Linked DNA regions of Caenorhabditis elegans. Each later gene encodes a partner of the first gene's protein in a complex. Each region holds a gene or a part of one and is shown in the gene's direction. Other genes may lie near its edges.

Region 1 (4,469 bases):
GTAAATTTCAGTATACTGCAATTTCGCTTCTCCTCGATTCGTGATCACAATCACGACTGACTTTCACATGGCCTGTCTCAGTCTTGATACGCACGGATCCGGGGCACTTTCTCGAGTTTTCCAGTGTAACGTTACATCTGAAATAAATTAATGAAATGTGTGACAAAAAATAAAATTTTTTCCTAGCGATAATTCACCTAGCCACAATGTCCCCATTTTTCAGTGTTTCTCTCGGACGATAGCTTTGATTGTTGAAAATGACCAATGGAGCTCCTCGTTTCGTCGAAATACTGAAATTGCATAGTTTCTATGTTTAATTGTTTTAGAAGTTAGAAGGCATACCAAAAATCTGAACTATTCTCGCTGATATATTCCGGTGCCATTTCAAGCACCCTCTTGGGCTATTGGCAATCGGTCTATAGTGCATCAGAGAACGTAACACGTGTGACTTGCTGGAATTTTATATTTTGATAGAGTTATTGATTAATAACAACCTATTTGTCAAAAACCAATCCGGATGGTATGGAGTCTCTTCGTCTTCAAACGGAGATTGATATGAATTGTGACCTAAAAATACAACGTCTGTTATTTCTATTTAATTATTAGTTAAGACCTACACAGAAGATTGAATTCACTGGTTTCCTGTAGATCGTGATCCATTTCTTCGGGAAATACAGCTGGATCAAAATCAAAAAATCTTTCAGTATTTGCCATGGAATCTGTTGTATCCAAGCTTGTTTCCTGAGTAGAATTGGCTATTGAATCGCATTCCGGGATATCGTCAGTGGATCTCGGCTCATCGAGCTCTCGAGAATTTGAAGGAAACTGCATATACGAATCAGACCGACGTGGTGATGCAGGTGGAGTAACCAGATCGATTGTTGCAGGAGTCGATTCACATACATTTGTAGTAGACGCTTTCGGATTTCTTTTCTTCTTTAGATCCCTGTCGAACGCTGAAAAATACTTTTCACTCTTCAATTAATCTTTAGACATCAATACTTGCCTCTAAAAAAGCGTTTGGCTCCGCTTGGATCACTCTCAGCATCAAGTTCTTCTTTTTCCGGGAAGGAAATGCTCATTTTCGATTAATATTAATTTTGATCGATTCGAAATCGATTGCAACCCGTTTTTGTCATCGAAAATTCTGAAAATATCCGTATTTAGCTCGAATAAAACTAATTAATTTCCATTAAAAATCCGTTTTTAATTGAATTCCGTTCGAAATTTCCTGTTGGAAAAAGAAATAAATAAATACGAAGAAGCGTGCGGCGCATTGCAAAAAGCCGTGCGGCGCATTGCGAAGGACTGTGCGGCGGGCTTGCGAAAAGGCGCGCAGCACATTGCCCTACTGAAAGCGTTCCTTACGAAAAAATCCCCTTACGAAAACGTACCCCCTCGATTAGAATAGAACAGTTTAGCAATTTCTAACAATTAATTAAACAAAATTTGGATGAAAAGTCTTTAAAATGTATCAATTCATTGTGCCGCAATTAATTTAGGCCAACATTAAATTTAAAAATTTTACATTTACCGCATCTTCTCGTTTGTCCGAGAGGACTACACCACTCGCTCCTAGCGAGACCTTCCACCGGCGAAAGTGCCTGCGCCTTTAAATTTTGAATCTATTTTTTTGTTTCTACGCAACGATTTTTCTTCTTTTTCTCTTATTTTTCTCTAATATTCACTATAAATATTTATTAATTTTCAGAAAAATGCAAGAAGACGACTCGGTGAAACCTTTTCAGACCGTCGGCGCTCACAGAGATCTCATTCATTGTGTATGTTGGCTTGATTTCGAAAAATTAGATAAAAACTGAAGATTTTTATTTCCAGGTTTCATTCGATCCTCATGGCCGACGAATGGCAACATGTGCCAGCGATATGACAATGGCGATTTGGGATCGAAAGCCAGACGGAAATTGGCGTAGATCTGCACACTGGAAGGTAGAAAAGAAATTTCAGAAAATAAAATAATTTTCCTCATTTCAGTGTCATGGTGGAGCAGTTTGGCGCGTTATTTGGGCTCATCCGGAATTTGGGCAGATTGTTGCGTAAGAAACTAGAAACTGTCACCCGAATATACTTTATTGATTGATTTTCAGCACCTGCTCCTACGACAGAACGATTGTAATTTGGGAGGAGCAAATTGTGAGATCAGAGAAAGATCTGAGTGAGTATAATTCGCTCTAAATATAATCCAAAACATTATGTATCTCTCAGAGCAAAAAGAATCCCAATGGATCCGAAGAACAATCATCTCCGATAATCGTTCAGACGTCACCGATATCTGCTTCTCCCCGCGCCATCTGGGTCTCATGATGGCATCATGCAACGTTCTCGGAACCGTCAGAATCTACGAAGCACCGGATATTGTGGACGCTTCTCGATGGAATCTTATTCACGAGCTTCAAGCGTTTCATACCCGATGTGGATGTGTCACATGGTCACTTTCTCGTATGCACCGCCCGTTGATTGCTGTTGGTTCGGATGAGAAGAAGGCAGAGAACAAGAAACGAGTTGTGATCTATGAGAATATTGATGGATTGAGGAAATGGCAGCGAATCAACTCATTAGTCTTCGATCTACCATGCCCGATTACTGATTTGAAGTAGGAAGAACACGCTCTCCTCGGAGCCGAATAATTATTACAGCGCGCTTGCCTTTCCATTGAAAATAGCAGATTTTTCAGTATTAAAAAATCCGCTCTTTGAATAATTTTTTGTCTAGAAATTCCAAAAAATAATCGAATTTTCTAAAATCCGATATTTATCGGATTTGTGTCTAAAAATTTCAAAAACAATCGTATTTTCTTGAAAAATCCGCAATTTTATCAATTTTTTGCCTGAAAATTTTAAAAATAATTGAAATGTTCTGAAAATTCCGCTATTTTAACAAAATTCAAAAAATATTTAAAATTTTCTTGAAAAATCCGCTATTTTAACAATTTTTTGTCTAAAAATTCCAACAAAAAAAATTGAATTTTCTGGAAAAGTCCGCAGTTTTATCAATTTTTTGTCTGAAAATTCCAAAAATTATTGGAATTTTCTTGAAAAATTCGCTATTTTAATAATTTTTGTCTAAAAATTTCAAAAAAAATCGAATTTTCTTGAAAAATCCGCTATTTTATCAATTTTTTGTCTGAAAATTTCAAAAAAAAATTTCCGCTATTTTAACTATAATATTTAAAATGTTCAGATTCTCGCCGATATCGATGGTGGATTCGCATCAATTAGCCGTTGCATCAGGCGATGTTCACGTCTACAACATCAAAGTGGCTCGTTCGGCGATTCTCGAAGAAGACGGTGTCGAGAATCCGATTCAGCTGGCGGATTACAATCTGATCAAGGTGGCACTGCTCGGGGATCATCGAAAAGCATGGAGGCTTCGATATAATCTCATGGGATCAGTCATCTCGTCGACGAGCTTGGATGGAACACTGAGATCCTGGAAATGTTGGGAAAAAATCAAAAAGAGTCAAAAATGAAATAAAATTGATTTTCAGCACTCTTCGTGAACCAATGGGTAAAGCTGAGTGAGATGAATGTCGACGACTACGTTCCATCGCCTGAAGAAGTTCGCGCCTTCATCTCATCGAAAACTACCGAACGTCTTCCATCACAACTCGAGAAAACCTATTTCTAACGATATTTTTCTCTATTTTTTCTCGCCGATCATTTTTTTTCCGAATGATTTCTTATCAAAGCGTGTATTATTATTTGTTATCATCATCTGAAAACTGAAAACCGAGAACATTATCACCGATTTTTTTTTGATGTTTAAGTATTTTATCAATCTTCTGTTTAATTTTCAGATTTTTCATGCTGATCGGTTTCTGCAAGAATTAAACATTCCACTTATCTAACTTATGTAATTTTCAACGGTTTTTGTGCCTAGAAATATTTTTTGGACGTTTTTGTTAATTCTTTTTGCATTCAACATTCACCTAAATTCGAAAATTAAATATTTACTGAAACCCGATACTGTCTTTTTCACAGTTTCCACAATACCTCCATCAATTATTGTTGATTTTATCTCTTTTCCAAATCTAGGGATAGTGGGTTACTCGCAGAGAAATAGAGAAACGGCAAGGTCATTTACCTGGCCTTTTCTCATCCACACATGTCGGAATAATTGTGGTATTAGTGTCCTTATCTGCAAAATTTCGATTTTTTAAAACTTTTGTTGTCTTTTCCACAATTTTATTGCAAAATTTAAGCACTTTCTAATTTTCAGAATGACTCTTGGATGTGCAAAGCTTGACAAGCAAGTTGCCGATTGGCTCGCTTGGGATAAGAATGATAAGAATCGTAATGAAATTCAAAAGCTGGTTGATGAGAAGAACGTTGATGCATTGAAAGCTCGTATGGATACTCGATTGGTTTTTGGAACTGCTGGTGAGAAGAAAATAATATTACACAGCTGCAGTGTGTAAACGGTGGAAGAAACGCAGCTATATTGGGACAAAG
Region 2 (5,811 bases), on another chromosome or scaffold:
TTAAATGGGACATCGACGTATGAACCAGACGCCAAATTTTGCGATTTTGGCGCCAAAATTACGGTAATTACGGTACGGTCTCGACACGATAAATGTCTGTTAAATGCAGAAGAGCATTCGCCTTTAAATAGAACTGTAATTTCAGAGGCTCATTGCTGCGATTTTATTTTAATCGACTTTTTGAAGTTGTTCGATACCAAATTTAAAATAAATTTATTTTTAAAAAAATTGAAATAAAATAATAGAAACACATACATATAAAACATCGATGAAAATTCTACAGCAGCGACAGTTTGAAATTACATTAATTACAGTGTACTATTTAAACGCGCACACCACTTTACTAACTTTCAGAAATTTGTCGTGTCGAGACCAGATACCTTAATTTTGGCTCAAAAGTTCGCGTCTGGAACAATAGTTCTCTGAAAAAATATATGTAAAGCCAAATGGTACAAATTGAGATTTTTCTGTAAAGTTTACTTTCAATGGAAAGCCTAAAACTAATTGATTTTTAATTGGCATACTATTAGAAATTTGTAAAAATTTTCATTAATTTAAATCTGAACGTTTATCAGCGGCTTTAAACATTTTGAAAATATGCATTAATTTTTTAATAAACGCAAAAAGTTGAAAATATCTGCGTATTTTTTGTTGTAATTCAACATGATGTTCGAAATTCAATACATCTTTTTTTTCTTCTTTCTTATGCTCCTCCTCTCCCACACTATCAAGTTTCGGGGGTCTTCTCTCTCGTTTTTTTTGCAGAACTTGTTCCAAACTCACCTTTTACCATTGCATTTTGTGTTGTCTTTTAACTGAAGTCGGCAGAAAAAAATCCGGTGATCGATTTTGGGAATAGGTGGCGACGATTTTGAAAAGCAGGTATTTAGCGATGAAAATACTCGAAATTAATTTTAACAAATATGATTGATAAACTAAAGATATGAAGCTACTAAATATGGCTCGGTGAGCTGGAAATAGTGGGTGAAGGAGTGGAGAGGCAGAAACAAAGAGAGACGAAAAAGAAGAGGTGCACTACGGCTCCCATGCAAAACTAGCATCTTTTCGTTTTTTTTTTTTGGTTTTCTTGTCGGTTGGTGTAATTGATGTGATGGATTACACTTGAGAAGCCCAAGGAAGGAAGTACCAAAAAAGGGCAAACATTTTTTTACAAGGAATCTTTTTTTTGGTCTATAGTCCCCTTATAAGGACTTTTTAGAGGAGGAGGTGTAGGTTTCTTCCCTAGAAACAGAAAGCAGTCCAACATATTGAATATAACTTTTTAAATAATTTATAGAATTCTCCTGAATTTTTAAAAAAATAACTTTTTCAATTGTTCGAACATAACAAAAATGGACAGGCCGCCAAAGTCCTAGGAGATTGATTGCACAAAGCCGCAAGCTTTTCGTACGAAATAGTGCTCCAGAAATGGTTCCATTCTAGTTATTAAATCAAAACTTTGGTCTATTGTCCTCTCCATATGTTTTTCTCTAATTTGAGTATACAATATACCCTGTTTTGTGTGCATTGAGCCTGTGCATAAGACGAACGATACGAACGGCCCCTCTCCTCCTTACATTCTTATACACAGTCTCAATTCACACAAAACATGTGGTTCAAAGAATATATCCTTATGTAAGTAGCAAACGCAAGCGTAGGAGCACGTATTGATCGATTTATAGACAGTCACAATGCACACAAAACAGATGATTTAGAGGATAGCTGCTACTGGAACGCAAAAATACGATGTGCTTTAAAATAAGAGCTCTCATCAACCCATAACGTCGGCTCTCATTTTTGTTTTTTATAGCTGATTGCACCTTATTAAACAATTTGAAGATGAAAGGCACTACTCGGAAAAGTTTCAAATTGCAATTTCTTCCATTTCTGTGTTTCAAAAAAGTTATGAAAACCTGAATAAACCCCTCTTTTTTGAAAGTCCGCGCATTGTGTTCTCAATGGAGCGCACTACCATTATTTTCGTTTAAGCAAAAATTTTCAAATTTCGAAGGGTTTTCGTCGTGTAAAACGATTTTTTTTTCTGTTTCATGTAGTTTTTAAAACTTTATTTTCCTTTAAAAAAATATTTTTAGCACAATGACAGACTTGTTCGCTTCGGGGGACAATTCTTCCAACTCCTTCGACGACTCTAACGATGAAATCGCGCGCAAAAATGAAACCGCTTTCAAATACACTACAATTTGTGAGTTTAACACTCGATGCGAAAGGAAAACTATTTTAAAAATATATAATTTGCAGTTCACACAAATCTCTCAGAAAAACTGTACCACGAATTATGTGCATTGGCTTTCGGAGAGTTCGATATTCCTCAAGGGCAAATCTCGCCACTTATGTGGACCAGACTTCATGAGGTTTGATTCACTTGAAAAAGGCCTCTGATAAATGTAATATTTTTTCAGATCTATTCAGAAGTAGAAATGCAGACTCGAAAACTTCCTGCAGGATCTAATTATTCCGCCAGTTCACAAAAATACGCGAATGAAGCCGTGCAAATCGCCAGTGTTCTTTCAATTTATACCGCGTTGGCTCATGAATATGATGAGACTGTGGAAGTTTCTTTGCTTAGCAAACTAGTTGTAGAAGATGTGGAGTTTAGAAGGATTTATGTAAGATCTTAGACTTTTTATTCAATTAAACACATAATTTCTAATTTTTTAGGCTCTTCTTCTTTGGAGTGAGAAAGCGATCAGCGAACAGCAATATGAAAAAGGTCTTGGAGACAAAGTTCGGAAACTCGAAGGAATCAAATCTTCTAGAATCAATTCAATGATGGCTTTGAAACGACCAACATTTGGAGCAGCCAATGCTCCAAAAGATGCTTCACTGGATCCAGATGCTCCTGGTACCAAAGAAGATCAAGCTCTCGAGCAAATGGCGATGAACGTTTTCTTCCAATTAATTCGAAGTGGAGAAACTTCCAAAGCTGCGAATTTAGCCATTGATCTAGGAATGGGAGCGATCGGAGCTCAACTTCAGCTTCACTCGATGCTCCGGAACCCACTTGATATTCCACTAGAGGCATCTAAACAGAACTTTGGGGAATATAAAAGATCTCGACGCGCAAAGTACTACCAGATGACACAGAAATTGATAGAACAATCGCAGGGGAGCGAAGATGATGCTTACTGGATGCTGATTTCTGCGATTCGTGGGAATATCCAACCAATGCTAAAAGCTGGAAAGTCAGTGATTGAAAAAGTATGGGCATATGCAAATTCTGCAGTTCTCGCAAGAATTCTTGCCGCCGAGGGAGCCATGACACAGGAAACTATTTCGACGTTGTTCAACGTTCCACTAACTTCAAAATCAATCTTAGATGAGCTGAGATCAGAGGCTGATCGTACCAAAGAAGTATACATCCTACTCCGAGTGATCGATGACATGCTCAATGATGACATTGAAGATCTGTACAAGTTCGCAAATGAAACAGTCGGAGAATTTGTTCCAAATGATAAAAATTGTCAAGTGAACATGCTCGCACTCGACATCTTCTTCCACCTCGTCGCAGTTTCTTATGCGAGTGGTTTCGAACCAAATGACGATGGAAATGCTGTAATTATTCTTGGATTCGATGATCTTCGTGCACGCAGTGGAACCTCATCACACAAGAAAATGGCTGCATTTTATTCAAGATTCCTCCCAGAAGATATGAAGCTTCCAGAGATTGTGGAGACTATGAAAGGTAATTTAAAAACTGATGATGATTTTTAAAAAAATTCTCTTTTCAGCTGTCGATTCTGATGAAGAACGTGAAATCCTGGCTGAGTCGCTGAAACAATCTGACATTGATTTCGGACGCTGTGCGTGCACACTTATTGAGCAAATCAGAAAAGATGACAAAACGAAGGTTGTAACTTTGGAAGAGCAGATTGATCACTGGCATTGGCTTTTGATAGGTGGAGAAGAGACTGCACTGGCTGCTCTTGAAGAATGTAATCGACTAGTTCGTAAAGTGATGCTGTCGACACCGATTGACGAGTCTGTAATTAGGCAAATTATTCGAAAAGCGCTTCATTTCGAAGTTCCTAAGCTATTGTCACAAGCTGTTGAAAATGAAGCAACTGTACTTTCACTGATCACTGATGGAACCCTGTTTGAGCAAAAACCTGGATCGCAGCTGGCAATTAATAAAATCGAACACGCGGCTCTGGAATTTTATGGGCTCTGCTCTTTCGTGGTATGATTTCTTATCCAAATCAGCGGAATCTTTAACCACTGGTTAAAATTACAGTAATCTTTAAAGGTGCAAACCGTCTCGTATTGAACAAAAATTTGTCGTGTCGAGACCCCGTACTCAAAATTTCGCTGCTGAATAATATTCAATTTCATATTGGCCATTTTAAAATCCGAATTTTCAGGATGTGAACAACTTCATGATCACTATTGCTCTGAAACTTGGGCTCATGTTCAAGTACACACCGATCACTGATGATGAGCTTTCCATGATCGGAGGAGTCAAACGACTCGACAACACCACAGCTGCTGACTGGGAAGCTTCACTGAGAGTCCGAGCTCGTGCTGAGCAAACTCTGCGGGAAGAGGTGCTCAAAAAGAGAGCCGCCGAGCATAATACGCGAGTTGGAATGGTTCAACAACATTTAGATGTAGGATTTTTAGAATAAATTGTTGTGAAAAAAATTTTAAAAAATTGAAATTTCAGACTGTTCTTCCGATGCTCCGTGGGCTGGTTAACAATATTGGTGTGCGCCCGGAGTACTTTTTGAGCCCACGTGCTAATGGAGATCCAATGCGTGTACACCGGAAAGAAATTCAGGAGATTCGGAATCTCTTCCTCCCGCAATTCTTCATCCTTCTTGCACAAGCCGCCGTGAGACTCGACGATACCACAAATTTCAACGATTTCTTCACAAGCTTCAATAATGACCTCGGGCTCGATCAGGAATGGATGGTTTTCATCAAAGCTTTCTACGCAGAACTCAATCTCAAAGTCGAATAATTTTTATTTCATTGTTTTTTTGTTTGATACCTGTTTTGATTACCATTTTTTATCACTATATTTCTGACTTCTTTCTCATTTTTTTTAAATTTCCGGTCGATCTTTCACAGACACGATTGTATCCGTGCAGTATTTGAAAATAACAAATTTTTCTGATTTCTGTGGGTTTCACGTGAAGATCTTCTTCAAGAAGAGGTCATCAGATTGCGGAAGATCTATATTACCGATCTGACGCAAGACTACCATGTATATTTGGAAAGGAAAAATTTTCTGTGCAGAGGTTGATGGTTTAAATTTTGATTTAGATATTTTCTTCATTTAATTTGAAAATTTCCATGCCTGAAAATATCCTCAGTGAGGATTCTCACCTACCGTATACTTAAAGGCGCACACCTGTCTCAACCGGAGCGTTGCGAGACCCGCGGCATCAAACTACACACTGTGTTTTGATGATCTTTCGATCGTTCTCGAAAAAAGAAAGAGCAGAGTTCATTAAAACAAATGGCGGCAAAATGTCTATAAAGGCGAGTCGTTCTCTTCATTATCTTTTGATTTTCGATGTGTTCTCCTTATTGTTTTGTTCGTTGACCCCTTATCTGCATTCTCACCGCTACGCAACGTATATTTAACGTCAGCTTTTTCGCAGAAAATTTTTCTATATTCTCATGCAAATTTACTGTTCTCAATGCTGGACGTGTCGCTTGTGCTTTGATCTCAAATCTAACATTTTCCCTTCAAATATTTTATATCTGCAACGGTGGGGCAGAAATTTAAAAGTTGACCTTTGTCAGCCAACTGCTATCAGTTATCAGTTGGCCGGAGATCTTTCTATT

What was found.
Region 2: npp-18 (region 1) and npp-5 share a complex: the UniProt entries of both Caenorhabditis elegans proteins name them as parts of the nuclear pore complex.

Annotation. Positions count from the first base shown.
Region 1 is NC_003281.10:13,295,142-13,299,610, forward strand, and holds npp-18 (Nucleoporin SEH1), read left to right. Parts: upstream 1-1,711; 5' UTR 1,712-1,715; coding exon 1,716-1,781; intron 1,782-1,836; coding exon 1,837-1,947; intron 1,948-1,992; coding exon 1,993-2,054; intron 2,055-2,105; coding exon 2,106-2,173; intron 2,174-2,223; coding exon 2,224-2,611; intron 2,612-3,198; coding exon 3,199-3,455; intron 3,456-3,505; coding exon 3,506-3,645; 3' UTR 3,646-3,852; downstream 3,853-4,469. Other genes in the region: pgm-2 (Phosphoglucomutase-2), read left to right, coding at 4,238-4,397. UniProt on the Caenorhabditis elegans protein: Probable component of the nuclear pore complex (NPC) which is involved in the trafficking of macromolecules between the cytoplasm and nucleus. As a component of the GATOR complex may function in the amino acid-sensing branch of the TORC1 signaling pathway.
Region 2 is NC_003280.10:11,596,092-11,601,902, reverse strand, and holds npp-5 (Nuclear pore complex protein 5), read left to right. Parts: upstream 1-2,093; 5' UTR 2,094-2,097; coding exon 2,098-2,203; intron 2,204-2,259; coding exon 2,260-2,372; intron 2,373-2,420; coding exon 2,421-2,627; intron 2,628-2,679; coding exon 2,680-3,703; intron 3,704-3,749; coding exon 3,750-4,198; intron 4,199-4,379; coding exon 4,380-4,625; intron 4,626-4,681; coding exon 4,682-4,978; 3' UTR 4,979-5,136; downstream 5,137-5,811. UniProt on the Caenorhabditis elegans protein: Involved in kinetochore assembly and chromosome segregation during embryonic mitosis.